Struthio camelus: one gene and its partner. The protein of the gene in region 2 purifies or fractionates together with the protein of the main gene of each other region. This does not show direct contact. Links are inferred from orthologs where the notes say so. Each region holds a gene or a part of one and is shown on either strand. Other genes may lie near its edges. The genes, in order: NCL and PA2G4.

Region 1 (15,797 bases), on a different chromosome or scaffold from region 2:
ACCTAAAGTTTGCATAGATTATGCCCAAGTCACAGCCGTCTCGAGACCAAATGACCAAATGGGGGAAACACACTTACGATTAAAACCTCCTCTTGCATTCATGTTCCCTTTCTGCCAGGCTGGTGAACTGAATTCCAGTCTGATTGCTCTGCCTTCAATTTCTGTATTGTTACAGGAATTCAAAGCCTCTTTGGCATCCTCAGGTGTGGGAAATTCTACAAACGCATACCTATTTGGAGAAGATTTCAGTTAGACTGCGAGCACAGGAAGTCACCGGAAGTCATGCACAATGCCATCTGAAAGAATTGGTACAGATGCAGAACATACCCTTTAGGCCTGCCCTGGTTGTTCTGTGGCATCCTGATGGCTGTAGCTTTTTTGAACAGTTCTTGAAGAGTCTCTTCTGAGGCAGAGTATGAGAGGTTGTTTACAATTAGGGTCTTTGCCTCCCTCTCTCCTCCTCCTACAAAGGAAAACTCAGCATGAGAAGTGCAAGTCTGGAAAAGGACAGTTCTCTCGCTAGAGAAGACCCACCCTAGGGTGAAAATAATTGTTGCCCCTCCCCACCTTCCTTGTGGGCATAGGAGACTAAACGCAGTACTGATTTAGTCACCTGGAGTAGTTGTCTTCCTCTGATTGAAACACATGCAGCACAGACACAAAATGCATGAGATTCAGAGCACAAATCTGCTAAAAGGTGCCTCACTGCTACCTTACAGTTTTCCTACAACGCTTCCAGTTGTTCTATCCCTATCAAACGTCTAAAACTGAGTGGAATTAAATCCTAAGTGTCACCTGCACGCACATCACGGATATGGAAGAGTACCTTTCTGACTTTCTTGTTGGCTCTTCTCACCAGTGTAGTCAATGACCATGGCACGACCGTCAATCTCTGTGCCCTGCTTCTCTTCCAAAGCTTTGTCTGCCTCAGCTTCTGTTTTAAATTCGACATAGGCCATCCTAGAGCACAAGGAAAAAACATAGGCAAATAACGTCATTTTCGGAAGGACTACAGTTATGAACAGGGTGATGCGAAAAAGCGCTTTGAACTGGCTTTTTCAGTACACCTAATCCAGCACGTTTCCCGAGATAGCTAAAGGACACATGAGCTTATCAAAATACATCAAGTGTTTGAGAAATGGCAAGCAGTCAGTCCTCTCAGCTACATACCCTTTGCTGGCCCCCTCCTTGCTAAATACTAGTCGGACTTCTATTGCATTTTCAAACACATTTTTCATCTCATCTTCAGTTAAACGGTAGGGTAGATTCTTCACAAAAAGTGTTCTAGCATCTCTCTCTACAAAGAGAAATAAGCAGTTACTTTCACGTCACCATTGAGCTAAAAATCCTTTCTCACGTATTGCCAGCTTACTAAGAAAACCAGAGTGAATTCATCCAGTACAAAAAACACAGGATAAGTTTGCATTTCAGACGCAGACAAGGCAATTATGACAAGCAATTAAGCTGCCGTTACACTTCTCTCTCAAGAGCATCAAGTCAGAATGTAAAGCCAAGGACAGAGCCACATTTCTTCCTCGCACCCCTAGTATGCCTATTTCTTACAATGTCATTACGTTGCCAGACATTGCAGTCAGAGCTTGCCTATCTCTAAGTTACAATACAGAGAAACTGCTGAGAAACTGCTTATGGTAAGAGCCCAAACCAGTGGGACTCTGGTTTAAAAGGTTAACATCATGGCCATCAGTAATATCGTGGGCCTACTCTAAGCTAAGTGTTATCACCTACTGATTATTACAGCTTCTTTCTTTAATGCCCCCAGGTATTCAGAGCAATGTGCTGTACCTTTTTTGTTTTCTTTCAGGCTTTCCTTGCTCTTTGCTTTTTCCAGTTTGATTTCCAAACCCATCAGCTTCTTTCCGTTCAGTTGAAGAGCTTTATCCAGATCTTCGGCAGATGAAAAGTCTACATAGCCAAATCGCCTGAAAGAAGAATAACTTTATTATCTAGCCTGATCTGCTCTAGCATCAGAAAACTATATATATAAGGAAACCCAGAACCAGAAGGGAGTGGTCAAATTAAAGCGTTAATAAAATAAACGCCAACTGCCCCAGAAAACCAAAGCAATAGTACAGCACACGACTGCTCTGTACTTCGGTAGCAGCTTTCCTTTTCTGGGATATACTGTCTGAAGCAGCTGCTGGCAAGCATTATACCCTATCAGTACTGTACATGTCCTGCACTTCTTCCAGCTTCCGTATAGCATCAAGCAAGCATCCCAGTATTTTGAAGAACTTACTTGGAAGAACCAATTCTAACTTCTGTAACTTGGAGATTCTTCTTGCCAAAAAACTCCTTGATAGCAGTCCTCAGTTCTTCATACTCCTTGGTTGGTGTCAAATTTCTCACGAAGAGAGAGAAAGCTGAAGCAGGCCCTTCCCAAAAAAAAAAAAAAATTGAGTTTTTCTTTAGGGCAGATAGATGAACTGGAAACAGACTGGACAGTTCTAGCACATCAGTTTCTGCTTAAAATGACATCACGTTTCAGTATTAAGTCCCTTAGAATCATCATTTGTGCTGGCAAGAACACACTGAACATGCAATCCTTTCAGTTATTGTGTCTCATCTCACCCAATAGCCCAATATTAAATGAAGATTCCCAAGTCTCTCCTAAACATTTCCAAATGCCATGAGCATCATTCGATGACCCCACACCAAGGTACCTTCTGTCTTCTTTTTCTTGGCTTCTGGTGCGCTTTTATTGGCCATTTCTTTCTTCCTCTTTCCAGGTGCTTCCTTGACAGGTTCTGTGATGGAGAACAAATAAAAGAACACTGAATTAGAAGTGCCAAAAAAACAAAACACAGCTTCTGCTATGCTGGATTAGCATATGAGTATCTTCAAGCAGCTCATACACAAAACCTTCTTGTGCCATCACCGCAACTACTCATTACTTTCCACTCCAAAAGACCATGACCAGACAAAAATTTTGTTGAGATCCTTCCTGCTATTATGCATGGCTATGTTCACCAAACCATTTAAACTCACTTTCATCCTCACTTTCCTCCTCATCCTCATCTTCATCCTCCTCCTCTTCATCCTCCTCCTCTTCATCATCATCTTCATCCTCCTCATCTTCAGACTCTACCTTAGCTTTAGCTGGTGTAGCCTTTACTGGAGTAGGTTTCTTTACTTGAACAGGGGTTGTGTCCATAGCCTCATCTTCAGACTCTGAAATGAGTTCAGTACAAAACTTGGTTCAAGATTAGCCACTTTGTAAATCGAACCAAAAACGTCACATGAAGTAAGAGAGTTCTGAACGTCTGCTTGAATCTACACGATCTCAAGAAAGCATTTATACCTTTATAGTGCTTACAACAAACTGCCCCTCCTCCAAGTCTTACTGCACTAAGAATAACATTTTAGGAAATAGTTTTAGGAAAATGGAATACCCATTCAAACATATCTGACGGGCACTAGTAAACATGGACAGACACGTACTCATCGCTGCCATTAACCACCCATTAAGTTACCGGCCTAGAGCTCCCTGAAAGCCTGTTTTCACCTCTTCTAAAAAATGCATTTTCTAAGAGTTAGAGCAAGCTTCTCTCAATCCTTGTGGACCACATACCATCCTCCTCCTCCTCCTCATCATCATCTTCATCCTCCTCTTCCTCAGACTCTTGTTTTGCTGGCACAGCTGCAGGTTTTTTGGCTGGTACAGCTGCAGGCTTTTTGGCTGCAGGTTTCACAGGCACTGCTACCTCCTCTTCCTCATCTGCAATGAAGTACAGCAAGCATTCACCTAGAGCACTCAACCTTCAAACTCAGTCAAGTACTTTGTTTCCCTGCGTTTTGGCAAACTTCAGAGAAGAACAATCAGAAAACTAGAACATGCTTCACACCCTGCACAAGGCAGGCACAGTCCAAGAAATTCTCCTGCAAACCTCACCAACTCTTCATCTTTCCTTGCTTACTTCCTTTCACTTACCAAACACTCTTGAGTACCAAAACATGCTGAACTGTCAGCTTTTAAGGTACTCAAATCCACTTACTGGGATGAGCTAACTTCAGTCAGCTTACAAGATGGACACATATTCCAAAAGTAGCTTACCAGAGTCATCTTCATCCTCCTCCTCCTCATCATCTTCCTCCTCCTCATCATCATCTTCCTCCTCCTCCTCACTCTCTTCCTTCTTGGCATTCTTTCCATTTTTCGCTCCTTTGCCTAGGACAGCAGCCTTTTTAGGTGATGGAACAACAGCCTTTTTAGCTGGAGTAGCCACAGCCTTCTTGGCTGGTATAACTGCCTTTTTTGCAGGGGTAGCCTTCTTAGCAGGGGTAGCAGCCTTCTTAGCTGGTGTAACTGCTGCTTTCTGTTGTTTCTTCTGAGGGACCATCTGAAAGAGACATGAAGCGAGCGCAGGACTCTTATGCAGCTCCTTTAAAGGAATTTCAAACTTGACAACATGACACTGCAGTGACATTATGCCTTGACAGTTGATATGAACTATGCAACCACACTCATGGGAAGATGGCACTTTAGGAGATACAGCCAACAAATGGCTACCTCTGCACACCCAATAAATCGAGTATCTGCTCTCTCTGGACTCCTGTACTTTTTCCTGCCCATCTCTGCATCTATACCTTGACATTACTACTTCAACATGGCAGCCTTACAAATGCACGACAACTGCAATCTAGCAAGTATCCCTTTAACAGACTTATTTAGTTGCTGTTAAATTACTATTAGCCTGGTAAAGCTCAAAAGCAGCTTTGTCGTGCGTTTGACAACTTCTGGAACAGCCAAGCATCTCTCGAATACCCTGCTACTAAGGCAGCACCTGCGATTTCTCTAGCAGCACCCTACAGCTTCAAATTTTCGCTCTTGTATGTTATTTGTGGATGGTGAAGTGACTTGTTAGAACAACGAGCATATTTCGCTAGTTGTGACGTGAAAGGGGAAACAGGAGTAGAGCTGCTGAGGTCCTTCCAGATCTGATTATTTATCACTCACTTGCTCATCAGTACTAGAAACAGCTGTAAGACCCACACATTCCTTTCAAAATCTGGAAGGACATAGACTGAACAGTTAAACTATTTTTCCCTTATCGCTTTCCTCTTATAAAATCCTGTTCGTTCTTCAGCTACAGTCAATAGATATGTATGTAGTATATGACTACCGATTAACAACGGTTCTGTTCCTCATACGTCCCCCAACCTTGCAACACTTGGGACCCATGCACCCATTCGGTTGTGTTCTAGATTCATCATCACCTCTTCTCCGCTGCTCTCCTCCAGTTCAGAAGACTCCTCTTCCTCGCTTTCCTCGACCTTCTTGGGGGGAGGGGCCATTTTTTTCTGTTTGATCTGATTCTTGGGAGTCTGAAAGAGAGGGGGAGGTATTAAGAGGAGCTTCCTCCCTCAGCCGAGGGTTAGAAGCAGATGCATCGTCCAAGCTATTCCCTCCACCTGCCGGCGCCCGCACGGGCGGGCAGCTCTCCCGACCACGTGGCTCCCCGCCGCGCGGGGCCGGGGTGCTCCCGCCGCGCGGCGGACGCCGGCGCCCCGCGCTCCCACGTGCTCGCTCGCCCCAGCGCACCACGTGGCCGCGCGGCGGCGTAAACCGCCCCCCCCCGCCTCGCCCTGCGCGCGCATACGCAGCGGCGCGCGCCAAGCCACGCTCTCCCCCCTCCCCGCCCCCCCTCCCCGATCCGGGCGGCGCGCGGGCCCCGGAGCCCCCCTCCTCCCCTCGGCGGCGCGCGCCCGGGCCCTCGCGCGCGGCAACATGGAGGGAGAAGGCGGGGGGGGGGCTTGAAACCGCTCCTTTCCAACGCGCCCCTCCTCCCGCCGCCATGTTAACAGGGAAGGAGGGGCGGCCTGGAAACCGCCGCGGCCCGCACGGCGGGAGCAGGCGGCGGGAGGACGGCCTAGCTCGCCTCTTCCCCCTCCCCGCGCCGTCCGCGCCCGCCGCTACTGCCGCCCCGCGGCGCGGCCTAGCGCGGCCCCGCCGGGCGGCCTCACCTTGGCGATCTTCACCATGATGGCGGCGGGGCCTGGCGGCGCAAGGGCGGCGACCGAGCTGCCTCCGGGGAAAGGGCCGTGTCCGGCGGGGGTGGCGGGAGGGGGAGCGAAGAGGGCCCCGGATGGAAGGCGGGAGCGGCCGCAAGACACTGGCGACCGAACCGGGGACTGAAACGAAAGAGCGAGCGCAGGCCCCTTCCGTTCCCTTGCCTAGCCCTCCGCCTCGCCCCGCCTCCTCCACCCCCGCCTCGGCCAATCGCCGCGCGCCTAGGCCCGCCCGACCAATCCCCGCCTCCTCCCCTCGAGCCCTTCCGCCAATCGCTGGGGCTGTTCGATCAGCCAACGGGAGAGCGCGTTACAGCTGACGACAAGAGAGCGTGTGCGTGCAGAGGGAGGGGGGAGCGAGGGGAGCACTCAGCCCGCCCGCGAGGAAGCGACGCAACCAATGAGAGGGCGGCAACTCGGCGCCTGCGCTCTCATTGGGCGGCGGGGCTTAGTGGCGGGTGGGCGTGGCCGGGCCGGGGGAGAGCACGTGGCGGCCAGACGGCCACGTGGTGGGGCTGCGCCGGGGGTGGGCGCCCGGGCCCGGGGCGGCCGGGGGGGGGGGTCCCGGGGCAGGGGGGTCCCGGGGCAGCTGCTGCTGTTCTTGGCAGCCCGGCACTGCTAAAGATCGGCTGCAGGGGTAAAACAGCCTGAAAACGGTTTTTGCTTTTTCTTTGGAAGGTAAAAGTTTGCAAACGGATAGGAGTTGTATTTGTTTTCCGGTTCCTCCCCCCCCCCCTTTTCCTTCCTCTCCACTTCTGCCCCACCGCCTCCATTCCCTTCTGTAGTCCCTTCCCCAATTACTTGGTTCTCAGCGCACACCCAGACTCTTACCTTCAGCTGCTACAGAAGTTGAAAGTCTCTTGAGTTTAAAAAGCCCAAGAGCTTGGAGGTTTGCACATACTGGGATTACACTTGACGCAGCAGATGACCCGCAGCTGCCTCTGTTACAGAAAGCCCGCCGGCTGACAGCGCTCCTGGTGACAGAAGTGCCACTGGCTCACTACGCGGAGGAAGGACCCCGTGCTGTAAAAAATGAATTATGGTTGCGTAATGAATGGTGAGAGAAGACAGATCAGCCCTCTTCGCGTGGAATTTTACCCCGGTGGTTATAAAGTTCACGGTATAAAGGCTCCCAGGGTAGCGTGCTGCGCCCCTGTTTACTCTTTGCCAGTGTGCTGGCAGTGCTGCTTCGCACCCTGCCTGACGCGGCCTTCCCTCAGCCGAGTAGCTCAGTGGCCTCTTGTTGCTCTGGCTTCCCAGCTGCCTCATATCCACTGCCCTGTCAAACTGGGTAAGATCCTGGGCTCGCCTGACCGTGACTGCCAGCGCTTTCGCCCTTCCCAGCACCTGCCTGGGAGAAGCCCCTAATGTGAGGAACAAAAGAGCCTGGGGAGCCCCAGGGAAAAGTGCCCAGACTCTCTAGGTGGATGCAGCCCTGAGGGGACACCCCTGGGGTGCTCAGTGCCACTTGCAGACAAGGGACGTGCTGTGAGGGAGGCCACTGTATTTGCCTCCTCTGCTGGATGAAGAGAGGCGTTTTCCAGGCGGGTAGAGCCAGGGCTGAGGACACCAGCTTATAAAGAGGTGACAGGACCTGTCTGCATGAGTAAGGCAGCCCTCAGAGAGGTTGGGATGGTGCTGGGACAGCGGGGGACGCTGCCTGCCTCCCAGCCCTGGTCACACCAACGGGGAGCTGGGCATCCTGCCCAGGGGAAACCCTTGCGCAGGGGCAGCTGGGCTCTACACGTGAAACACAGCAGCTTCTGGCTCACTCCAGCACGTGCTGCAGGAGCCACTAACACAAACCCAGGGCTGCCCGTCGGGACACTGGGCGACTTGGTACCATCCTAGGAGGCAGAGGCCTCTTGGGAATTTTTACTGTCTAAAGCAAGAGCCGATTGCTTGCTCTTTACCGTGTGCAGCCACGGCGTAACAAGATCCTTAGCGTTGCTCTTCCAGTGCTGCTGCTAGAGCCAGGGCTGGTTCCTCTCCGTGTCGCTGCAGAGGGGCTTGTTTCTCACGGGAAAAGGACAGCCGTTGCTGCAGCCGTGGATGGTTTTGGTAGCCAGGGCACTGTGTGTGTTCAATAACGTGCCAGTGATGGGCTCAGCAATCTGCAATCTTATGGCTTATCCTAAGCCGGTGCAGGAAACAAGACGGCGAATGCCACCTCTGAACTGATGCCACGCTGTTTCAAAAGTGGTGTTCACCTGGCAAAGAGCAGGCGATCGCTGGCTTGGAGATGGGTCAGGTTGGGGTGGGAGGAGTGCGTTCTGCACGGGACCAGTGGCGTTAACGCTCAGCGCTGGCAGGGTGACCAGGGGAACGCACCCATGGCAGCGGTGTTAGAAAAGGGCCCCTGGGGACACCCCTCCTCATGGCAGCAAGCACTGGTTCAGAGGGGGTTAGACTCAACACTGGCCCCACAGGACCTTCGTCATCTTCTGCGCTGTCACTTTTTGGTTTGGTCCTCAATCCGTCATAGACCCAGCGAGGCCCCACGTAGACCCAGCCAGGCCCCTGGTTACATCAGCAGGGAGCAGCAGCACGGTACCCCCAGACCCGTGCCCAGTCCAACCGCGTCTTGCCCACGGGGCAGGGCAGGATTGCTGCCCATCGCAGCACTGCCCGTCTCCCGAACCCACCTGCCCTGCAGCCGCCAGTGCTGAAAGCCGTGGCACGTCTGCGCAAGGTTTGCACAGGTTATCGCAGCAACCGCCCGCCCTGGCTGGCGTCCCACGTGGGCAAAGCTGGGCACGTCGCTTCCGGGCCCGCCGGAAAAGCGGTGAAAGGGGTGGACTGGCGGCCGGCCAGCACTCGGTTCTTGGCCCTGGCAGGGGAAGTCTTGGTATTGCTCGCGCTCCATCTCTTACTCCAAGCGCGTGCCCTGGTGCTGACAGGTCGTCCCCAGTGCAGGTGGCACGGAGGCTGCAGCAGGACCCCGCATTTGGGGGAAGGAGCACAGCACCTGTGCACCAAAGGGAAAAGAAGAGCAGAGGCCGCACGCAATGCGACATTAACCTGTGTGCTGTGGACAGGCAGGTCAGGGCTCAGCGTAAGGCCCGATCCTGCCTGCTGCTGCAGTGCCTGCAGGGGACAGCTTGGGGCGGGGGGGAAGGTGTCCAGGGCACCGACTGCAAGGCTGTGGTTTGTCCCCACATGCCACATGTAGCACACGGGTCGGATGCACTGGGCAAAAGGATGCTGGTTTGCCTGGGCAGCCAGTGCCTAGGCCAGGCTCTTGCTGAGGACGCACCGCAGTGCAAGGCTTCCCCGGCAACGCAGCATACACCTGCCCCTCTGCAGGCGCAGCTACAAGTTTCAAGGCCAAGGGATGTCTGCAGAGCAGCATGAGTGCAGGAAATTTGGCTAAAGCAGCAGGATTAACAGCCCAATTTGTGGAGCAAATGTATTTTAGGTGCTTTTAGGTACTTGTTGCTGTAGCATCTCTGCACCTTGGGGGCTTTGATCTAGTTCCACTGTTAAAGGCAACTTGTTTAACAGACACAAACTTGGGGGAGACCACAGGAGGGGTTTTCCCACCTGGTTTATGGTGCAGCAGGGACTTGTCCCCAGGAGCAGTGGGAGTACCTCACACAGCAGCAGAGGTTCAGAGCCGTGAGAGAGCGGGCACTGCGGGGCAGACATGGCACCCCAAGAGCCAGGTCCTGCAGCCCTGAGCTATCTGGCAGCCCCCAGCTGGGCCAGGGGAACAGAAACCAGCTGAAGACGGGGTCTGCTGATGGGCTGGGCTTGCAGCATGTGCAAATAGCTGGTGCCGGGAAAAGATGGGCGCTGGCACACATAGGGTTAATGCCCTGTGCAGGGCAAGGCGGGCACCCAGCCAGGACACCTCTGTAGGGACCCCGCTGGGGGAGCATCCCCGAATGTCCCGTTCAATCTGCGCCTGGCTGCAGCTGGGCATTTCCACTAGATGGTGACAAAAGGCCGTGTCTGCCGTCCCCGGTGGGAGCCCACGGGGCTGCCCTGCTCTCCTCGGGCTCCCCAAAGCCCTTCCCCAGGGCTGCAGCCGAGCGGGAAATCGTACCCCCTCAGCTGCGTCTCTCCCGGTGGATCTCGGGGCACAGAGGAAGGCCTGATACGAGCCCTGCGTTCGACACACACCACGTAAAGGCAGCAGCCAAGCGCAGGCGGGAGAGGAAAAGTTTTACCTGTGGGAGCATCTGCTGCCTAACAGCCACCAGGGACCCCGGGCAAAGACCCCTGCCCGCACCGCCTTCCACCCACGCTGCCGGAAACGTGGGTCGGGAGCAAGGTTGCCTTATCCTGAAGGAATCCTAAAAAAAAAAGTAAATTTATGCATCTGAGGTCTAATCCCCACTTAAAACCTCTCCAGCACCCCATCCTCCCCCCTGCAAAGTCCCCTTCCCCAGCTACAGGGCCACCTGCTGCTGTCCCACAGCTCCACTTCTGATTCATGCAGGGTGTCAAATGAGTCAGGTCTCCCCTAATTACATCTTTTGTTCATCACCCCCCCAGCAGCACGCTGAAGCCGAAGCGGGGCTCGCGAAGAGGCTGGATGGGTCAGGCTGCTGCGCAGCGCTGCAGGGAGAGCCCGCGAGGGCGAAGCGCACAGGGCTTGCTGAATTTGAGGGATTGCACACCAGACTGTCTTCTGCTTGGAGCGGCCGTGACACGCCTCCCTCGGCTGGCACTTTGTGCAACGGTGCCTGTTAGATAGGGACACCAGCCCTCATTTCCAGCCCGCTCTGTGCTGTCAGAGAGCTCCCTCAGCCCAAAAACCCAGCACGAGAGCAGGCGGAGGGGAAACTGCTGAGCTCCTGCGTCTTAGCCCATGGCTTTGGGATCAGCAGGATGCCAGCTGGTTTGCTGGATCTCCTCCCCGATGGTTTCTCACCCCTTCCTCCTCCCATTCTGGCTTCTCCCCACTCTTTTTCTGGCCTTAGTCTAATGGCAGCTCATCCTGTTGCTGAACAGGAGAGAAGGAGGAAACAGCATCCCCTCCCGTCCCACCCTGAGGGATGGAGGGGCGCCCAGGGCTGGGCAGGGACACAGCCGGGCCCTGAGGCACCCACTGCCAGGATGGGAGGGGACCCACCTGGGACAGAGGGGGCCAGGATTGGGATTGGCGTGCGCCCCCCCCCCCCCCCCAGCGAGACACCTCCTCTCTCCCCACCCCGGCCGATTGCAGATCTGTGCCATTCCCTTGGCATCACCTTCGTGCCAAGGAAAAATCCCTGGTGACTCACTCAGGAAGTCTGTGTGCTGCACTTAGTCTCCCTGTGACCCCCCCCAGGGTCCCTTCACATGATCATCCCTGGCACCCTGCAGAGAAAAGAGTTTTCTCTTTCCACAAAAGGCCGATTCCCCCAGGACAGCCCTTTGCTAGCCCCGTTCCTCTCCCTGACGTCGCTTGCCTGCAGCTAACAGCACAGCCTTGCAGCCTGCCTGTAGCCCCCCGCAAATACCTGGGGCAGCCCGCAGCCTTGGGCCATGCGCGACCCTTTCTCGGCTTCGCAAAACAGGAGGCAGAATGCCAGCGCTGGAAAATATGATGCAAGGGAGAGAAGCGAGTCTGAAACAAGCAGGACTGCTACATGGGACATGAGCTAAATAAGAGAAACAGGGCTAAGAAGCTATGGGACAATTAGGAAGGAAGGAGGGAGGGGAGCTCGGGACCTTCTTCTTCTCTCCAACAGCATGGAGAAAATCCACAGGCTGGAAACGAAGGAGGAGTTTGGACATGCAAATGCTTCTATAATCCAAGGGGAGAAAAAGAAAAAAAAAACCAACCTGTGGAGGAGTTACAGGCAGCCATTCAGCGCTGCTCTGGGATCAGCACGTTTCTGGGCATCATATTAACCCTCCAGACAGGGGCAATAGGGTCGCATCCAGATGAGCCACGGGTCCCAGGTGGGTCTGTATCTCGAGATCTGCTCACATTGAGATTCGGGCAAGCTCCCTTGTTGCTTGCAACAGCTCCCTGCAAAAGATGAACTTCACAAAACGTGCAGCTTTCCAAAGCCCGAGCAGGGTTTGCCTGGAAAAGCCCACGCTTCTCAGAGAGCGTGTACCACGCCATCCCACACACACCATCCACCCCATGGGAGCACAGAGCCGCTCCAAAATACTAACATTAGCTGCAAAACCCCAAAGCTGCTCCCCAGGCTAGATACTGAAGATGTTGAGCTCATTTTGACTGGGAAGGGGGCCCATTCTGGAGTAAAACATCTGTGAACTGTTCCTCTCTCAGCAAATCTGCCCTTGGGCAAAGGCCTGCAGTGCAGTGACCTGTGGCTTTGCCTTCGATCACTCACGTTTTACCTGCTGGAAGCTCCCACTGCTCACAGACTTGTATTTGGCTATTTCCGTTTTCACACCAGCTCCCGGGCACGGGGCCAGCAGCAGGCAGATGCTCTGCTTGGAACGGGGTCAGAGCAACTCAGGCTCAAGTGACAGTAACATTTTTCCTTTTCAGACTGAAAATTGAATCTTTGTTGAGTCCCAAACCAGAAAGGCAGGAGTCTCCTTCCATTGCCCCCATTTTTGCATTTGCATCCAAGCAAGGCAGTTTTGGGTGAGCTCAGCCCTGGCTCGGGAGCCGCGTGCGCTCACCGCTCATCACGGACACGTGTCCACGTGGGCAGCTGCAGCCTGACACACACATGCCACAGGGTGAGCAGAGTGGCACAGCCGGCCAGGGCTTCCCCACAGCCTTACCTGCAACAGTCACATCAAAGCAGCAGCTGAGCAGCGAGAGCTCGGGGATAAGGGGGTCGCAGCCCCTCTGCTCCCGTGGGAGTAGCCGATGGTGCAAGGGCCGAGGGCAGGGGAGCTGGGTCCCTGCAGGCTCTGCGTGCAGCCCCCAGCTTGGGGGTGTCACACAGCTGCGGGCAGCTTACACGTGCTTTGCTAAAGACTTTAGCATTTGCATTGGAAGGCCCCAGGTGGAAGCAGCTGGGACCCTGTGGTGCTCTGAGCACCCACAGTTCGGGCAGTCTCTGCTTCAGAGAGCTCACACGTATGTGCATTTGACAGCTGCCCCGATGGGAAAGAAAGGTGACTGTACCCATTTTACAGAAATCAAACCGCAGATCTACTGGTCTGCAACCAGATCTCGCTGGTCCTGGCCCAGTGCCTTTCACTGGCCCGTCTTCTCGGGAAGGGTCAGTCTGCACTTGGCTGTGCTTTCAAAGCTCCAGTGACCCGGGCTGGCTTCAAGCGAGCTCACCCTGCACAGACCGTCTGACAGCCTGGGGAACACCCGAGCTCAGGAGTCACCCGTACAGCACCAGGCAGGCTCAGCCCACCCAGCTTTCCACCTGCCGTCTGCCCCGACCTCCCCTTTGCAGCAAGCTGCGTCACAGGGAGCCAAAAGGAGGTTAGAAATAAGGGCCGAAAGTACTTCCCTGGCCTTGGGCTGGCTCTTGGGTTTTTTGTGCCTCGTCCCAGCTATTTCAGGCAGTTTCATTTATCAGCTCTCATCGTGGAAATTCCCACTGGCAGGGTGTGAGTTAAAAGCACTGCCTTCAAACTTTCTTCTACTGCAGCTAAAAAAACCCAGCAACAACAAGGCAACACTGGCAGCAGCAAAATTGTTGTCAGACCTGAAACCTGGTCCCAAACGCCCCAGCAATATCCCATTAAGCCGGGTAAGCGCATTACCATGTCTCCTGCATGCTCAGGGAGAGGGAGGATCATGCTTTCCTTGGGAAAAGCCCTTTCCTTCCCATCCCTCGCAAACTATCAGCTCATCTCCCGGAGCACCAAGTGATATGGGAAGTTTAAAGCAGACTGACAATTACACTGTATCTCTCCTGCTCGTTTTTAATTGTAGAGCAAACAAAGCACCACATTAATTCATCCCACTGGGTAATTAAATGCTTAATGCTATTGACTTTAAAGACATTATGGTTCAGCAGCACAACACTGATGCATTAATAATCACTTATAACATGGCAAGAAAGGGGCACGAAGCACTCCAAAGGAGCGGTGCAGTTACGTGGGATGAGAGCTCACAGCGAGAAGCATTTGGAGCAGAATTGGCGCCTTGGTGACCCCACAGGAGTCGAAGCTCCTGCTGGGTAGCAGGAGGCCAGGACATGCCCTGGCTGCAAGGAGCACAGAGAGGGCAGTTCACCGGTGGCCCAAGGAAACCCTCCTGGCTGTGACAGACAGGCTGCGGTGTCGGGGAACAGGAGAGCTGGGCTCCGGGCACCCACGCGACCTGGGATGCTGTTAGCAAAGGCCAGCAAGCAGGCCAAACCAGTCGGAGGGGAGCAAGCCTTTTTTAACTAAGCACCAGCACAGCATGACCAGGGCCTGCCTATCTGCTGCTGGGCTCCATATTTCCAATAATTTGCTGGCTGCTTTAGCATTTTTATTATGCAGACAGTGATGAGCAGAGCAGAGCCTCAATGTCTCAGATTAATGGCATTAAAACGTGGCTGGCTGAATGTCACTCCAAACAAAGAAGGTTATTTACTCACTAGAAAATGACGTGTTGGATTGCCAAGCGCTGAACCCCAGTGTGCCAGCAGGTACCTTACTTTCCCCCGAGGTGTCTTGTCCAGCAAAGCGTCAACATTGCTGTGGCAACCACAGTGTCCTCCATGAAGGACTGCAAAGCCCAGCATGTGGCAGGACCATCTCACATCCTTGCCCTGGCAGGCAGGATAAGGCCCAATCTATAGATGGGAAGTCCTCAGGGTAACACAGAAGCTGAAGGAGGAGCCCAGCAGTCCAGGTCCCTGGCACAGGCACAAGGGCTCACAGCCTCTTTCCACCCTGAACCCAGAGCTGGCTGGGAGCCTTTGGTCCAAACAGGGTGTCCTCAGAGAGCATTACCTCCTCAAAATGAGGAATTGCCAGGTTTGACCCAATATCTTCTAGGAGACGGTGCTCAGATTCAGGAAGAAGCATTTGGCCTGAACGTGAAGCCCAAAACAGCCCCAGGACAGAGCCCCCACGGGGACCGGCAAACACGGGCTGTGCCAGCTGGCATTGGTCACAGCAACCTTCCCAAGCCCTGGTCTTGTCCCAGAGTGGAGCAATAACATTTTGGGAACCCCAAATATTTTCCTTGGGGGACCCTCCTGCAACCAGCACTGAGGGGCTGTGGACCCCCATCTCCCTGCACAGCTCAAGAAAGTCTTGAAACAGCGCGAGGACAGGGGATGAGCAGCTCAAGACGGTCCTCTTCACGGACTTTTTTTCTACCTCCCTGTGAGCAAGAGCTTTCCCCTCCACCCACAGCAGGTTGCCTTCTTGACAGCGTCAGGTTACTCAACCTACCTCAAATCAACTGCAGCTGCTTCAAGGACAGAGCAGAGCTGCCCCAAAAGCCTCTGAGAAGCAGTTTCCATCCAAGTACCTGCATCCGGGCCAGCAGCCCCCTGCCCATAGGGGAGGCCGACGACCAAGTGGCTCTTCCCAGCCTCTGGCGCAAAGACCAAAAGCACTTGCCATTTTCTCTGAGCAAATAAGGGCTTATCACGCTGTGAAACCCTGATTTGATTTGTTCTCTCTGGTGACTGGGCAGCGTTTGCCTCCGTTACTTCCTCTGTCCCATGCCATAGTCCAATGATATTGCATCTGTCCAATAAAAGGTCCATTAATATAATTTACACCTAGTTGCCACTTTCTGTCTTATCCAGGAGAGCAGGCTCACAAGCTCCCTAGGTACGCTGTCACTTAGAGAGAAAAACAAAACAAACCCCCCATCTTAAAAAAAAGACTAGAAAGAGACAAAGGAAGTCGTCTTCTGCCTCATCTTTGAGCCCGCACCA
Region 2 (15,280 bases):
CCATTCCTGTTCTGCTTCCCAAGCCACCAGTCCCAGCAAGAAAGGTCACATGTCTCCATTCAGGAAGGATGGCTGCTGCTGGCGGGAAAGGAAAGCCAAACTCCAGCAGCCAACAGCTCCGTTTGTTTTCATGAACTGGGTCCTTATGCTGCTGCCAGTGCCTAGATAATTATGGCACTTGACTGTTTCCAAAACAGTGGCTGCTTAAACTCCCTTGACAGTGTGAGCAGCCGCCTCCTCACTGCAGCTGATGCTGTGTTTTTTCACAGAGAAAGGAGTAAAGCATTGAGAAGACCCACAAAGCCATCCCACACAAGGACTAGGGAGCTGATGTTCCAGGCCTGGGCTAAAGCAAGCAAAGAGAGCAAGCCAGCTTTACAGCGTTTCAGCAAATTTAACTAATAGCGGACCAATTTAATTGTGGCCAAAAGAACTATTTGACAGGGACGTCACCAACTATGAAAAAAGCAACTGCATAAATCAAGAGTCAAACAAAGCTCTCACGCCACCTTTCAAACAAGAATCCAGGGGTCTCGTTTCTATCAGAAGCTATCCCAGTGCCTTCCTACCCTCCTGCTATCAACACTATCAAGAAAACGTGAATCAGTTTCTGGTAAGGAAGGCAATTAAATACCCTGCGCGTCTAAAGCATCTTTTAGCAAAGGCCCCTGCATTACTAGCAAGCTCTTTTATATTTTTTCTAAAGGGGTTTTAACTACAAGTGGCCAAGCATGAAGCAAAGAACCAAGCAATTTGTCCCAGGTCAACAGGAAGTCCACAAGTCAGGATACTACCTCCTAGCCAACAAAGTCCAAATCTATTGTTATTGCATTAATGCATTTTTGAAAATCAAAAAACAACAGAAGAGTCTAGAGAGCTTTGAAGGGAAGTTTTAGGAAAGGCTGCTGCATTTAAAGGTGGAGCGTCTAGGACTCAGAGCCATTAAATGCTCTCCATAATTTGAACAGGGGAGGTTAGGATTTAGTGTGTAATTAGAACATTTGCTACCTCTGAATCAGCTACTCTCAAGTTCTTACCTTCAATTGGCGTGCAGTGAAACGAGTGGGCTATTTTGTTCCAAGCGTCTGTCACTTGCGTGTTCTAGATGAAGAACACATGAAAACACATTAAGGATATAAAATTCAAGCCAGAAGCATGATAGCTTTTCAACTTGACGCTGTTCTGTGATAAAACCAGCAGGCTTTCTAACTGAGCGGTGCTCTAACACCTCCAAAAAAGGAGAAACAGTGTCAGCCTTTCATTTTTAACCCTATATCAACGCAAATGACACGTATCATGAGGTTAACTCAGCTCTCCTGCATTGCACCCAGTGCCTTATCAGAGGCCATCTTTCTTTAGAAGATTACACTAGAAACTAAGAGCAACACAAGTATGTTTGGAATAGTAACACAGTGACAAAGGAGAACACCTACGACTGTTTAGGAGTCTGAGCACCAGACAAGGGAGAAACGCAAGTGGGAGATTTAAGGGAGTACAGTTAGGAGGATCCAGAGGAAAGTCTGAAGCGACTGCCAAGAAGTGCTTTGCAACGGACAGATACTGAAGTATGTAGTGGACATCCAGGCTTTGCAAGAGGGAAGACCAGATTTTACCCAGGGTTGTTGCCATTGTTAACTCGCAAACGCGGTGCTTTCAGTTGAGCTTTCCTTTTCTCTTGATGACAGGAGGCCCCTACAAGTGAAACACCTCTACAGACTGGTCCATCAGAGCCAAACAGACAACTGGCCCCATTATGTCTTGTTCTTATCGACCTTGTCCAGCAGGTCCCCAGTCTGGATGCGTGGCAGGATGCCGACAGTGAATGAGTTCTAGGGATGCAGGAAAATGTGCCATTCGTTTCACAAATAGGTGTAACAGCAAGTACTGCAGGCCCCGCTGCCTTCTGGGTCTTTTGCCAACTGAATCTAAAGCTGAGAAGTCAGCCACAACTTTGCTAGCAAGGCTCACCTGCTCCTTCCTGAATGGGATTGGAATCATATCATAAAGACGCTGTGACTCCCAACATTTAAAATTTTCTGTGCGTGCCCAGCTGTTTTCAGAGAGGAAGGAACCAGCAAGTGGAAGCACCAAGGCCTCTCTGTGAAGCCAACTTTACATAAGCAAGAGCTTAGATATTGCTGGCAAGCCAGAACTGCTGACAGGAAGAATCACCGCCACCTGCCCCAGTGGTCCGGCGCTCACCCCAGAAGTGGCTCAGCTGCCTGCAGGCAGCTGCTTCCAGATTCCCCACATAGCTAACAGTTCTTCCCAGGCAAGGTCATAGGCTTTTATTTCTACACATGAAGTGACCACGTGGCAAATTCAGTGTCTGTATTGGAGCTTCGCGACTTGTACCTAACTACACATTCGCAAATATCAGCCACTCACCTGGTTTCCAGGCTTTACCAAGCGCAGAGCAGCTTCAGCACAGAGATGAGCTGCCTTGATGACATCAGCTTTACGACCTGACACAGGGTTTTCCTGAAAGAACAGGAAAATAAAGGCTCTTTAAGATGCATGCCTTTCCCAGCTATTAGTAAGAACACTGTTCTGACTCCATCTAGAGATGGAGATAATCCATCTACCTGATTACTCTCCCACTGAGTGGGAAATCTAGATCAAAGGTGGAAGGACTTTGGGCTTCACAGCTCTGTCATTGGGCTCTGCTAAAAGAGCAGATGAGTACCAGCTACAACCAAATAAGTTCTGCCTTATGAGTTTCAACAGAAAAATCCCTGTACAAGCCCATCACTGTCAAAGACTGAAAATAGAACTAGACTCTTGTGTAGCCAGAAATACGGACTGGAGAGATTTCAACAGACTTCAATTTTTGTTCTCATCTTCTCCCCATCAAGTTATTCTTATGCAGCCACAGGAGAAAAGACGTTCCCAAGACCACAGCTGCCATCATCCTCCCAAGACTGAAACTTTATTCTAAACTTACGTGACAACTTTACACACATCTTATAACAGTAATTCCTGCAGCCAGTCTCATAAACGCAGCTTAATGTCACTTCCAAAAAATGACTTGACTGAATGGCTGGAGCACTAACCACCCATGCCATGGTGGGGTCCTCACAGATGCCTGCCAGGGGCTGCATGCTGCCCTGGATGAATAAAGCCACTTGCAAGTCTGTACCTGGCATATTCAGACAGAAAAAGCAGGCAGCAGAGACTAGATTTTGGGGCCAAGGAACAAGTCATCCCTGAACTCGGGGCTGCAAAGCTGAGGGCAGTGAGTCCCTGCAGCAGCGCAGCGTGCTTGGCTCCGCGTGCCTCGGCCAGCAGAGGGGGCAGCAAAACCAGTCTGCCCAGTCCGTCCCAGAGCCCAAGCCTCACCTCCATTTGCACAACAGGTACTAAATGCAAATAACTCACTGCAGCTCAACTTGCACTTGGTTTGTCTCAAACCATTTGTAACCTTGCAAAATTGTACATGTTGAAACAGTGCGTCATCTCGCGTTTTCCAGATGACTGAATAATTTTCAAAAAACCAGACCGTTTTCTTCCCGACACTGTTGTGACACCAGAGCTCAGGAGCCTTTGCAAAACTAAACAGAAACTTCTGTGACGCTCTACACTGCAGCCTTTGGGAACTAGCTTTTTGGGAACATCAGCTTTCTAATATCGCCCTCAGATTGCACTGAACGCAGCAGCTGTAAGACATACACCATTCCTTCAAAAACCTACCTTTGATGCATCTATGACAAAACTGTGTGCTACGTTCGCTATAAAACCATCAACGTGGACTCCCAAGTCACTGCAACACAAAGAGTTAATTACAGGTGAGGCCTCACAACGCAGGAAACTTGTGCGACTTCTAAAAGTATTAGCAGAGTCTCAGGCATGTTTCAAACGCTTTACTAATTAGCCAAGCCAAGGAAGGATTTAACACACCAAGTAGTATTAACGAGCGAAGCCCAGATGCTGACAGTAAATTCATGAGAAATATAACTAAGATGCTTACATTTTGACCAAGTCTCCGTCTTTGAGGATGTAATCTTGGTCACTCTTCAAGGGGGAGAAGTGACAGACACAGTTATTTACCGATATACTCGTTGGGAAGGCAATACCTATAAAGGGAAAAAGAAATATTCCATAAGTCTAGCAATCTCACACGCTGCACAGGCACAGACAGCAGCCCTGCCACTGTGGTTTGTCACTTAGGTTTTAGTCGTTTAAGCATCGTAAAACACTCCATCCATTACCTAAGGCTCTAGCCAAAAAGCCATAAGGAATCTAGCTTGCGGCAAGCTCCTACACTGGCCTTCTTTTTGTCCAGACAACCATCAAAACAAATACATCCAAGGCAGTAAGACACTTGCAAAAGGGACCTCAATTCTCCAGAACACAAATCACGGCGCTTTCAGTGACACACTCAAGTGTCACACAATTTCCATGGCAACTACAGACCAACTATAACCATATAGCAGGTCTTCCTGAAGAGAGGACGTTGTCCAAAGTAAGTCTCATTTCAATGTGAATGATTGGGTAAATCAAAATGGGAAGCTCAAGCTTATCAGTGATGCTTATGAACAGGGCAAGCAGGACGATTTGGATCAAAACTGGTTTTCTAGGAATGGTGAAGTATTTCTTACGCTAATTAGAGCAGAACTGTGCTTTCCATGCTGCTACTCATTCATGCCAGCCACCAAACAACACAACAGGACAAAAAATATCCTCATATTGAAAAAGTTTCTTTGGAACAGGCCTCACCTTTTTTCATTTCTTTTTCCTTCTTGAAAATTTTGCCAGTCTCTTCCATGATCATGGCATCTCCCTTTTCACACAAGCAGAGAACTGATGCTCCAGAGTTTGCTGCTTCAACCACTGCACGCAGGACCCCTTAATTCAAACAAAAAGCTGTTGAAGTACGTTCACCATAAACAGCCTTAAAACTAACAGCAACCCTCATCACACAGCCCCACGGTGAAAAAAGAAATATATCCATCTGTTTTCTAAAAAGGGACAAGACTGTTAGCTCAGCTTTTCACCAAGGACATAAGAGAAATCCCATTGTAATTTTTCGTTTTAAGAACTGACTTTCCGGGAACACTTTCACAGAAAACATGAGCAAGCAAACATACATTGGGATTTGCACAGGTGAAGTGCAGCAGTTTCAGACACCCATCTATACGCTCGCAGGTCTCTTAAACAAAGAGGCCAAGCAGAAACATCACTCTCCCACATTCTTTCCAGAGAAGTCAGAGCTTCAGAAACAGGTTTGAAAATTACTTGGGAGACAAAATACACAGCACATCAAAAGAGCAGGGGGCACTGTTGTGGACGTGTAGGACTATAACGTACAGATCAACAGAAAGACTTTGCTTGGCTCAAGAGCTGGCACCAGCACAGAACTAGCACAGCAAAGCCAGTTACATTAGCCTCTTTGCAGGAGCACGTTTTAAAGGTAACCCACGCTCCTCCTCTCAGTCACGAAGGCCAGGCAACACAAGCAGCTTACAGCATGCTTTCTGCCATCAGGAGCTTTACGTGCCTTGCTCCGCACTGGAGGTTAAAGAAAGCTTTGCTGCCTGTTTCCTGAATGTTGCTTGCATCTACTTTTGGACGTATTCTAGCTTTGTGCCTAGGAGTCTCATCAGCATTTTGATTACACCATAGCAGACAGCGTGCCTTATAGTATAAATGGGTAAAGGAATGTAAAAGCCACGGCTCGCGTTGAAATCCTGCAGGCTCACATTCATAAACACATTGCGATGGTATTCTAGGAGTAGCAGCCACGAAGGCCCAGGAGCTGCTGGAGCAAGCCACATACGTCTTGACTGCCTTTCTACCAGTCAGCAGGCCAGGAGCCAAGGCACTGCCTCTGTCACCGGCTGACTAGCTGCTATTCCCCTCTCTTCTTCCTCTATCAAACTGGATACAAGTCTTAAAGCTTATCCTCTAAAATGTTTTGGGATCCAGGGATAAAAGGTACACATGCAGTTTCTCCTCGCTCTGTGAGCGCACTGTTTTTACAAGAGGCTGTTTTGGAAGTGTCTCTATTTGCTGGGAGTTTCTGTTACCGATAGTGTGTGCTCTAGGTACTACAGCAATAAATACTTCTGAAGTGCTTAAGACATTTACAAGCAGATGGTTTTTCATAGTTTCTTTGACATAGAGTAAAAACCAAAAATCTTTCACCTGCATGATTGAATTCAATTTCAAATGACTTCAAGCAGTCATCTTTCCATGCGTCATAGATGGTTATGAATTCGGAATATTTTACAGTACAGATAAAACTGTGATAAAAAAGACATTTAGTGGATAGCAGGACACAGAGTTGAAAATAGAAAACGTCAAAACAAACACAGCAGAAAGATAAATGGAGAGCCGTGTTCATCAGAGCATTAGAATGAAACCAAAAAGCAGAGAGTGTAACAGCACTGACCAAGGAACATCTCTTAATTGTATTCTGTCCTTCCACAGGGCTTCATTTAGGAATTAAAAGCACTTTATGTCATTAAAGGCACGTCACACTGACAAGTACCCAAGACATTTTGAACTGGAAAGCCTTTTTGTCACAGTTCTGGATTTGATGTTCCCAAACACAGTCACAACACTACCAAGAGAGAAATGCTGCGATCAATCCACTTTTCCTCTCCGGGAACGGGGGTGTCCCCTCCGTGTAGCTAAACCTGTGGCATAACCTCTCTGCACCTTGCTGTTACATCCGGTTTGCCAAACAGCCAGTGAAAAACCAAAGAACCGACCTTCCTTCCCCAAGGGGGGGAACCTTTCCCCCCCGCCCCAGAGCAAAAAGGTATAGGGCCAGGAAAACACCAGCTAGCAACCCTTGTACCAACTAAAACATTACTGCAGCTTTCAAAAACCACGTCTTTCTCTGGAGCTGCATCCCAAGTTACTATGAAGAGCGATGACTTAAAAAGAAGCATTGGAGTCAGCAACAATTAGTGCGGCGTATACCACTACTGAAGCTGCTCCTGGAGCGGCGGGGACCTCATAAAACCGGTCCAGTTAGCTCTTTAAAACAGCTGTCACTTTTCTCGAGGGGGTTAACTAACCACCCTTAATGATACAGCAAAAACAAACGCTTAAAACAAAAACTAAAAAAGGGGAGGGGGGGGTGTTGGAATAACGCGAGGCGACCGAAGTTTGCAACACGCATAACACGTCTGACGAGCCCACGCCGAGCCCCCGCGCCCGGCTTGAGGCGGCTGCAGGCCCAGGAGCCGGCGGAAGAAAGGCGTTGAAGCCGCCGGCTTTTGGGTAAAAATAATAATAATAATAAAAAAGATGGGGGGGTGAAAGCGGCGGTGCGGCTTCCCGGGGACGTTGGCACAAAAGAAAGGATTTTTTTTTTTAAAAAAGGGGGCAGCCCCGACGTGGGGGGTGTGGGGGGGGGCAGGATGCGGGCAGCGGCGGCGCCGGCCCCACATGGCCGGGCCACGCGCCCGGCTGGCGGCGGGAGGGCGGGCGAGGCCGAGGGGCGCCGGGCCCGGCCCGGTCGCCGCCGCCGCACGTGGGGCGGGGAGGCCACGTGCGGGAGCGGCCGCCGCGTGGGCACCGGAGTGGGGGGGGGGGGCCTTCCTGGGCCGCCCCCCCCCCGCCGCTGTGGGTGGGTGTGTGTTGGGGGGGGGGTGTTAGGCCTCGCCGCCCACCCCGGGCCCCGGTGCATCCTCCCCCGCCTCCCGCCGCCACCGGGCAGGCCCGCCCCCCCCGCCCGCCCGCCTCACCGGCCGCGGCCCGCACTCACGGTTGGCGATGTCCCCCCCCATCTTGTACTTGGTCACCACCAGGTCCTCGGCGATGGTGAGCTCGGCCGCCTCCTCCTCGCCCGACATGGTCGGAGCCGCCTAGGCCCGGCCGCCGCCGCCGCCGCCCCCCTCCTCCTCCTCCTCCTCCTCCCTCCCGGCCGCCGCCGCCGCCGCCGCCGCCGCGCTGAGGAGACCCCGGGGAGCGCGAGCGAGAGAGCGCGAGCAGGGCAGGAGCGCGGGCTCCGCGCGGGGCACGCTGGGAAGCCGAGTCCCCGCCCCCCTCCCGCGCCGCCGCCGCCGCCGCCCGCGACTACAGCTCCCGGCGGGCCCCGCGCCCGCGCCCGCGCCGACTACAGCTCCCGGCGGGCCCCGCGGCTCTCTCGCGAGAGCGAGTGGGGAGGAGGCGGGGCGGCGCGGCCGGAAGTGGCGCGGAGGGCATTCTGGGAAGTGTAGTCTGGGGGGTGGCGGGTGGGAGGGCAGGGCGCCCCCCTGCGGTGTGGGGGGGGTTGTGGGGGGGAGTAGCGGAAGCCCCCCCCCCCCCCCCCGGCACGGCCGCTGCCCCCAGCCCCATGGCACTGGGCCCTCTGCCCCACACCGCCGGCCCCAGGCACTGCTGCCAGCCCCAGCCCCACGGCAGCCCCCTGCCCCACAGCACCAGCCCCTATCACTGCCCCAGCCCCATTGCGTCCCCCTGCCCCATGGCCCCAGCCCCATTACCTCCCCCTGCCCCACAGCCCCAGCCCCTGTCACTGCCCCCAGCCCCATTGTGTCCCCCTGCCCCATGGCCCCAGCCCCACTATCTCCCCCTGCCCCACAGCCCCAGCCCCTGTCACTGCCCCCAGCCCCATTGTGTCCCCCTGCCCCATGGCCCCAGCCCCACTACCTCCCCCTGCCCCACAGCCCCAGCCCCTGTCACTGCCCCCAGCCCCATTGCAGCCCCCTGCCCCACAGCACCAGCCCCTGTCACTACCCCCAGCCCCATTGCGTCCCCCTGCCCCATGGCCCCAGCCCCATTACCTCCCCCTGCCCCACAGCCCCAGCCCCTGTCACTGCCCCCAGCCCCATCGCAGCCCCCTGCCCCACAGCCCCAGCCCCATTGCCTCCCCCTGCCCCCATCCCCACCCCCCGCCCCACAGCCCTGGTCCCTGCCCCACGGCCCCTGCCCCACACAGGCGCCGGCCGTTCCTCGACTTCCCTTTGTCTTTATTTAGCTTTTAACAGACAGACGGGACCCTCGGCCCCACGGACGGGCAGGGGCACGCGGCGGCGGCACCGAGCCGGGGCGGGGGGCAGGCGGGCCCCACGGCGCCCCTCCGCCGTCCTCCGTCCCCGTCCCCCTCCAAAGCCTTCGCTAAAGAAGGGGAGACAATCGCAGGGGTTTTATGTTTTTGGCCCCGATTGCGGGGCTGCCGCCCCACCTACCCGCGGCCTCCGGAGGGTCGTTACCCGCGCCGGCGGCCCCTCATTAACGAGGAGCATCCCAAACCTGCGCGGCCAGCCTGCCACCGCTGCGTGGGGGGGTGCCGACATCCCCCCCAAACCTTCATCCCGGCTCCGGCAGGGAACGGGGACACCTGAAAACGACTTTGGCTTCCTTCTGGCCCAGAAATCCTGCCGATTCTGCCCAAAAGGCAGCCCCCACCCCGCCCCGGCTTCGCGCTTCCCGCAACAGCATCGGCTTTGCCGCCAAACCCCAGGAAAACGGGGCTTTCCCGCGGCCGGGCTCCGCCGGGAGCCGCCTGGGGAAACTGAGGCATGGAGCGGGGCCGCCCCGGGGAACGGGGGGGGGGGGGTCCGTCCACCGCGCTTCGGGCCCCCCCTTGGCCATCGGGCTCGTGCCCCGTGCCGGGCGCGCACGGGCTGGGGTGGGGGGCGAGCGGGGTGGGTTTTTTTTTGGGGGGGGGGGACGACCCCCTACGTCCGCTGGGCGTCCGCCTTGGCGAAGAGGCGGCTGTGCCAGTAGTCGGGGTTGTCGAAAGCGCAGTCCGAGGCCTCCAGGCTCCGCAGGGGCTTCATGAAGGGGGTCGGGGGGCCGGGGGGGCCGGGGCAGCGGGCCAGCCGGGGCGCCAGCACCGCCTCCATCTCCTCGTAGCCCTGCTCCTCGGCCGCCTCGCCGGGCCGCATGTCGGTGTAGCCGTCGTGCCGGGGGCCGGCCACGCTGCCCAGCGAGCGGCTCAGCCGCGGCTGCTTGTTCATGTACTCGTAGTCTTCCTCCTCCTCCTCTTCCTCCTCCTCCTCTTCCTCCCGGCGGCCGGGCGCGGGGGCCGCCGGGGCGCCCGGCTCCGAGCCCACCTCCATGTACTCGTAGCCCAGCTCCTCCAGGGAAGCCGGCCGGGCGCCGGGGGGGGCCCCGGGGCGCCGGTTCATGTACTCGTACTCCTCCTCCTCCTCCTCCGGCGCCGAGCCCCCGGCGGGCTCCGGCTCTGCGGGGCGTCGAGTGAGACGCCGGCTGGGTCGTCCCGCCCTGGAGCCTGCCCCAAAATGGCCCCCCCCCGCCCCGGGTTGTCCCCCTGCTCTGCTGGGACGGACCCGACCCCCCCCCAGCCCCATGGGGATGGGAGCCCCCCAGCACCAGTCCTGCAAGAACGGACCCCCCCCACACCCTGCATGCACAGACCCCCTCCGACCCTGCACTGATAGACTCCCCCCACCCTGCATGCACAGACACCCCCCCTGCACTGATGGACCCCCACCCTGCCATGACAGACCCCCATCCTGCATGCACGGGACCCCCACCCTGCAATGACGGAGCCCCCCCAGCAATGTCCCCCTGCCGTTCAATGATGGACCCCCCACCCTGTATGCACAGGACTCCCCACCCTGCACTGATGGACCCCTCCCCCCAACCCTGCATGCACAGGACTCCCCACCCTGCAATGGCAGACCCCCACCCTTGCATGCACGGGACCCCCCACCCTGCATGCACAGGACCCCATCCACCAATGACGGACCCCCCACCCTGCAACGATGGATTTCCCCCCAGCAATGATCCCCCCGCAATGATGGATTCTGCATGCACAGGACCCCCACCATGTAATGACAGACCCTCCCCACCCTGCATGCATGGGACCCCCCACCCTGCATCCACAGGACCCCCCATCCTGCAATGACGGACTCCCCACCCTGCAACGATGGACCCTGCATGTGCAGGACCCCCACCCTGCATTGATGGACCCCCCCGCCCTGCATGCACAGGACCCCTATCCTCCAGTGACGGACCCCCACCCTGCATGCATGGGACCCCCACCCTGCAATGATGGACCCCCGCCCTGCATGCACAGGACCCCTATCCTGCAATGACGGACCCCCACCCCGCATGCATGGGACCCCCACCCTGCAATGATGGACCCCCGCCCTGCATGCACAGGACCCCTATCCTGCAATGACGGACCCCCACCCCGCATGCATGGGACCCCCGCCCCGCAACGATGGACCCTGAATGCACAGGACCTCCATCCTGCAATGATGGACCTCCCAACCTGCATACACAGGACCCCTGTCCCGCAATGACGGACCCCCACCCTGCATGCACAGGACCCCCACCCTGCAATGATGGACCCCCACCCTGCATGCACAGGACCCCTGTCCTGCAGTGACGGACCCCCGCCCCGCAACGATGGACCCTGCATGCGCAGGACCCCCAGCCCTCGGCGCCGGCCCCCTCACCCCGGGCGGCGCAGTTGGGGGCCACGTAGCCGTTGGCGTCCTCCTCGCTGCCCTCGGTGCTGGGGGGTGGCGGGGGGAAGCTCTCGCGCTGCGACAGGTAGGCGCTGTCGCCCCGCGAGCGCAGGCTGCGGCAGAGGCTCCCCGAGAGCGACAGCCCCTCGGCCAGGTCCAGCTCCGACGCCGTGCCCCGGCCCTCCGACGACTCCGACACCGTCCGCCCCAGCGACTCCTGCCGGCTGCGCCGCGGCGGCCGGCCCCCGCCGCCCTGGGGGACACGGGGCTGACGGGGGGCTCGGCCGACCCGCCCCCCCCGCCGCCCCCCGCGCCCCCCGCCGCCCCGCGGTACCTGGCGGCCACCGCCGAGGCCGGGCTGGTTCATGGGGATGTAGCCGGCCGGGGGGCTCAGCAGGCTGGGGCTCTGCGGGGAGAGGCGGTGGGTGACGAGGCCGGCCGGGGGGGGACGGACGTGCCTGGGGCCTGGGACCCCCAAACCCTGCCCCGTGCTGTGCCCGGGACCCCCTGCCCCATACCCTGCCCCACACCGTGCCCAGGACCCCCTGCCCCATGCCATGCCCTGTGCTGTGCCCAGGACCCCCTGCCCCACACCGTGCCCAGGACCCCCTGCCCCATGCCATGCCCTGTGCTGTGCCCAGGACCCCCCTGCCCCAAACCCTGCCCCACACTGTGCCCGGGACCCCCTGCCCCACACCGTGCCCAGGACCCCCTGCCCCACACCGTGCCCAGGACCCCCTGCCCCATGCCATGCCCTGTGCTGTGCCCAGGACCCCCCTGCCCCAAACCCTGCCCCAAACCCTGCCCCACACCGTGCCTGGGACCCCCTGCCCCAAACCCTGTGCCATGCCCGGGACCCCCTGCCCCACACCATGCCTGGGACCCTGTGCCCCAAACCCTGCCCCACACCGTGCCTGGGACCCCCTGCCCCATGCCCTGCACCCTGCCCCATACCCAGCACCCCCTGCCCGGGATCCAGTCCCGGGGTGGCCAGACCCCCGGCAGGGAGCAGCGCGGGGTCTCACCCGGGCAGAGCTGCCCCGCGGCCGCGAGGGGTAGAGCCCGGCGGCGAGGCCGAAGGAGGCGTCCAGCTCCTCCTCCTCCAGCTCCAGCGTCTCCACCTCGTCCAGCTCCTTGTCGCTGAGGGTGGGGGGCTCGGCGGGCGGCGCGGCCCCGCTCTCCTGCCGCGGGAGGCCGCGTTAGGGGCTGCGGCCCCGGGGCCGGGGGGGGGGTTTGGGGGGGCCCGCGCTCACCTTGATCACCAGGTAGCGCGGCGGGTCGCGGGCCATGCGGGTGAACTCGTTCGCCAGCTCCTTGAAGGTGGGACGGATGTTCTCGTCGATCATCCAGCCTGCGGGCAGCGCGGCCGCTCAGCCCCGGCGCCGGCACCCCGCGGACCGAGCGAGCCGGGATGCGCCCTCGGGGGCTGAGCTGGGACTCAGCACCAAGCTGGGACCCTGGACACCGAGCCAGGACCCCAGGGACCCAGCCGGGACCCCGGGACGGAGCCGTGCTGTGCCCCTGGGATGGAGTCGTGCCGTGCCCTGGGGACCAAGCCATGCCGTGCCCCTGGGATGGGTCCAGGCTCCCGGGATGGGGCTATGTCCCTGGGATGGAGCCGTGTCCCCCCCGGGATGGAGCCACGTCCTCAGGATGGAGCCAGGCTCCCGGGGACGGAGCCATGCTCCCGGGATGGAGCCATGTCCCCTGGGATGGAGCTGTGTCCCCAGGATGGAGCCGTGTCCCCAGGGAGGGTGCCGTGTCCCCAGGACGGAGCCGTGTCCCCAGGACGGAGCCCTGTCCCCGCACTCACACTTCACCATGACCATGTAGACGTCGATGGTGCAGATCTGGGGCTGCGAGAGCCGCTCGCCCTTCTCCAGCAGGTCGGGCACCTCGGCGAGCCGGATCCCGGCGTAGGGCTCTGCCCCGAAGGTCATCATCTCCCAGAGCGTCACCCCTGCGGGGACAGGCGCCCGTGAGCCCCCGCGCGAGCGCCGTGGGGCCGGGGCGCCCGCGGCCGTGCTCACCGTAGCTCCAGACGTCGCTCTGGTGCGTGTACTTGCCGAAGTGGATGCTCTCCAGGGCCATCCACTTGATGGGCGTCTGCAAAGCAGGAGCCGCGTCGAGGGGCGCAGGGGGCCGGGGGCAGGGACAGGACCTGGGCTGGGGGTGCTGGGCCAGGGGGTGTCGGGGACCCGGAGCAGGCAGGGGACGCCCCGCGGCGCGGGGGGGGCGTCGGGGACCCGGAGCGGGCAGGGGACGCCCCGCGGCGCGGGGGGGGCGTCGGGGACCTGGAGCGGGCAGGGGACGCCCCGCGGCACGGGGGGGCGTCGGGGACACCCAGCAGGTAGGGGACATGGCACCCCGGGACACAGGGGGTGTCGGGGACCCAGGGTGGGGGGGGGACATGGCACCCCGGGGCCTGCCGGCGGGCGCCCACCTTGACCTCGTTATAGAAATACTTCTTGTCGTCGGGGTAGAGCAGGTCGGCGATGCCGAAATCGGCCACCTGGGCCTGGCTGGGCGACTTGAGCAGCACGTTGCGGGCGGCCAGGTTGCGGTGCACCATGCGGTGCTCCTCCAGGTAGTACATGCCCTGGGGCGGGGGGTCAGCGGGCCGGCGGGGGCTCGGGTGCCCCCCACCTGCCAACCTCCCCCCCCCCCGGGGACTCACCTTGGCCACCTGCACGCACCAGTTGAGCAGCAGCTGGGGGCTGATGCCGTCGCGGTTCTTGCGGACGTAGTCGAGCAGGGAGCCCAGCGGCAGCAGCTGCGTCACCAGCTGCAGCTGGGCGCCGGGGCAGATGCCCAGCAGCCGCACGATGTAGGCATGGTCCAGGCTGCCGATGGCCAGCATGTGCTGCGGGGGCACCGTCAGCAGCCGCCGGCCCCGGGGAGGGCGGCCGGCCGGCCCCGGCGCCCCGGGCAGCCGCACTTACGTCGGTGACGGCGTGGAAGGACTGCTGCCCGCTCCAGTCCTGGATCACCTTGATGCTCACGGGGATCTTGAGGGAGTCGCCGTCGGGGATCCAGATGCCCTGGCGGGACGGGGGCGAACCCGGTGAGCGCCAGGGCCCGTCCCCATCCCTGGGGGAGCCCCCGCGGCCCCGAGCCCCCGGCTCACCTTGTGCACGGTCCCGAAGACGCCAGAGCCCAGCACCTTCAGCCGCTTCAGCTCCGTCTCCTTGAAGATGCGGGCCAGCACCTTGTTGGCTTTTTCACTGGGGTCCAGCGGCTCCAGGCTCTGCCCGGCAGGAGACAGAGATGGACAGTGACAGGGAGGGAGAGAGATGAGGATGGGGATGGGGACGGACAAGGATGGAGCTAGGGATGGAGATGGATGGGGAGGGAGAGGGGGAGAGAGGACAGGGATGGAGACTGATGGAGATGGAGATGGAGATGGAGATGGAGATGGAGATGGAGATGGAGATGGCCGGGGGGTGCAGAGGGACAGACGGCCGCGGCCCCCTCACCTCGCCCCTCTCCAGGTAGCGCCGCATCGCCCGCTTCTTCTGGATCTTCTTGCCCCGCCAGTAGAGCAGGGTGAGGAGGAAGCAGGAGCAGGAGAGGAAGAGCCCGCCGACCACCATCACGGCGATGACCGTGGGGGTTTTCCTGGGCACGGAGGGCGCGGGCTGAGCCGGGGCGTGGGCAGGTCCCAGCAGCGCGCCCGCCGCCGCGCCCCACGCGCTTCCCACGGCCCCCCCTGCCGCGGGGGCGGCCGCCGGATCCGGCCGCGGTGACGGCGCTGGGGTGCGGCGCGGGCAGGGCTGGGCTGGTGCCCCGGGGCCCGCGTGGGCGGGAAGGGCCCCCCTGAGCCCAGCGGCACGGCACGGCTCAGAGCGGCACGGCTCGGAGCAGTGCAACGTAGCACGGCACGG

The links.
Region 1: the proteins of PA2G4 (region 2) and NCL purify together in Homo sapiens (affinity purification with mass spectrometry; 3 studies listed by BioGRID and IntAct, with this or other methods). This does not show direct contact. The link is inferred for Struthio camelus from reciprocal best matches to the Homo sapiens genes PA2G4 and NCL.

What each region holds. Positions count from the first base shown.
Region 1 is NC_090950.1:21,720,386-21,736,182, forward strand, and holds the start of NCL (nucleolin), read right to left. Parts: upstream 6,995-15,797; 5' UTR 6,859-6,994; intron 6,268-6,858; exon of another isoform or gene 6,151-6,267; 5' UTR 6,001-6,150; coding exon 5,983-6,000; intron 5,344-5,982; coding exon 5,236-5,343; intron 4,359-5,235; coding exon 4,073-4,358; intron 3,737-4,072; coding exon 3,590-3,736; intron 3,190-3,589; coding exon 3,007-3,189; intron 2,766-3,006; coding exon 2,682-2,765; intron 2,538-2,681; exon of another isoform or gene 2,469-2,537; intron 2,394-2,468; coding exon 2,258-2,393; intron 1,941-2,257; coding exon 1,804-1,940; intron 1,298-1,803; coding exon 1,171-1,297; intron 961-1,170; coding exon 827-960; intron 464-826; coding exon 328-463; intron 230-327; coding exon 78-229; intron 1-77. UniProt on the Homo sapiens protein: Nucleolin is the major nucleolar protein of growing eukaryotic cells. It is found associated with intranucleolar chromatin and pre-ribosomal particles. It induces chromatin decondensation by binding to histone H1.
Region 2 is NC_090969.1:599,281-614,560, forward strand, and holds the start of PA2G4 (proliferation-associated protein 2G4), read right to left. Parts: upstream 7,991-15,280; 5' UTR 7,806-7,990; coding exon 7,718-7,805; intron 4,846-7,717; coding exon 4,717-4,845; intron 4,074-4,716; coding exon 3,968-4,073; intron 3,761-3,967; coding exon 3,691-3,760; intron 2,482-3,690; coding exon 2,389-2,481; intron 1,102-2,388; coding exon 1,038-1,101; intron 1-1,037. Other genes in the region: ERBB3 (receptor tyrosine-protein kinase erbB-3), read right to left, coding at 9,633-10,141, 11,385-11,664, 11,731-11,802, 12,422-12,577, 12,650-12,747, 13,210-13,356, 13,427-13,502, 13,840-13,995 and 4 more. UniProt on the Homo sapiens protein: May play a role in a ERBB3-regulated signal transduction pathway. Seems be involved in growth regulation. Acts a corepressor of the androgen receptor (AR) and is regulated by the ERBB3 ligand neuregulin-1/heregulin (HRG).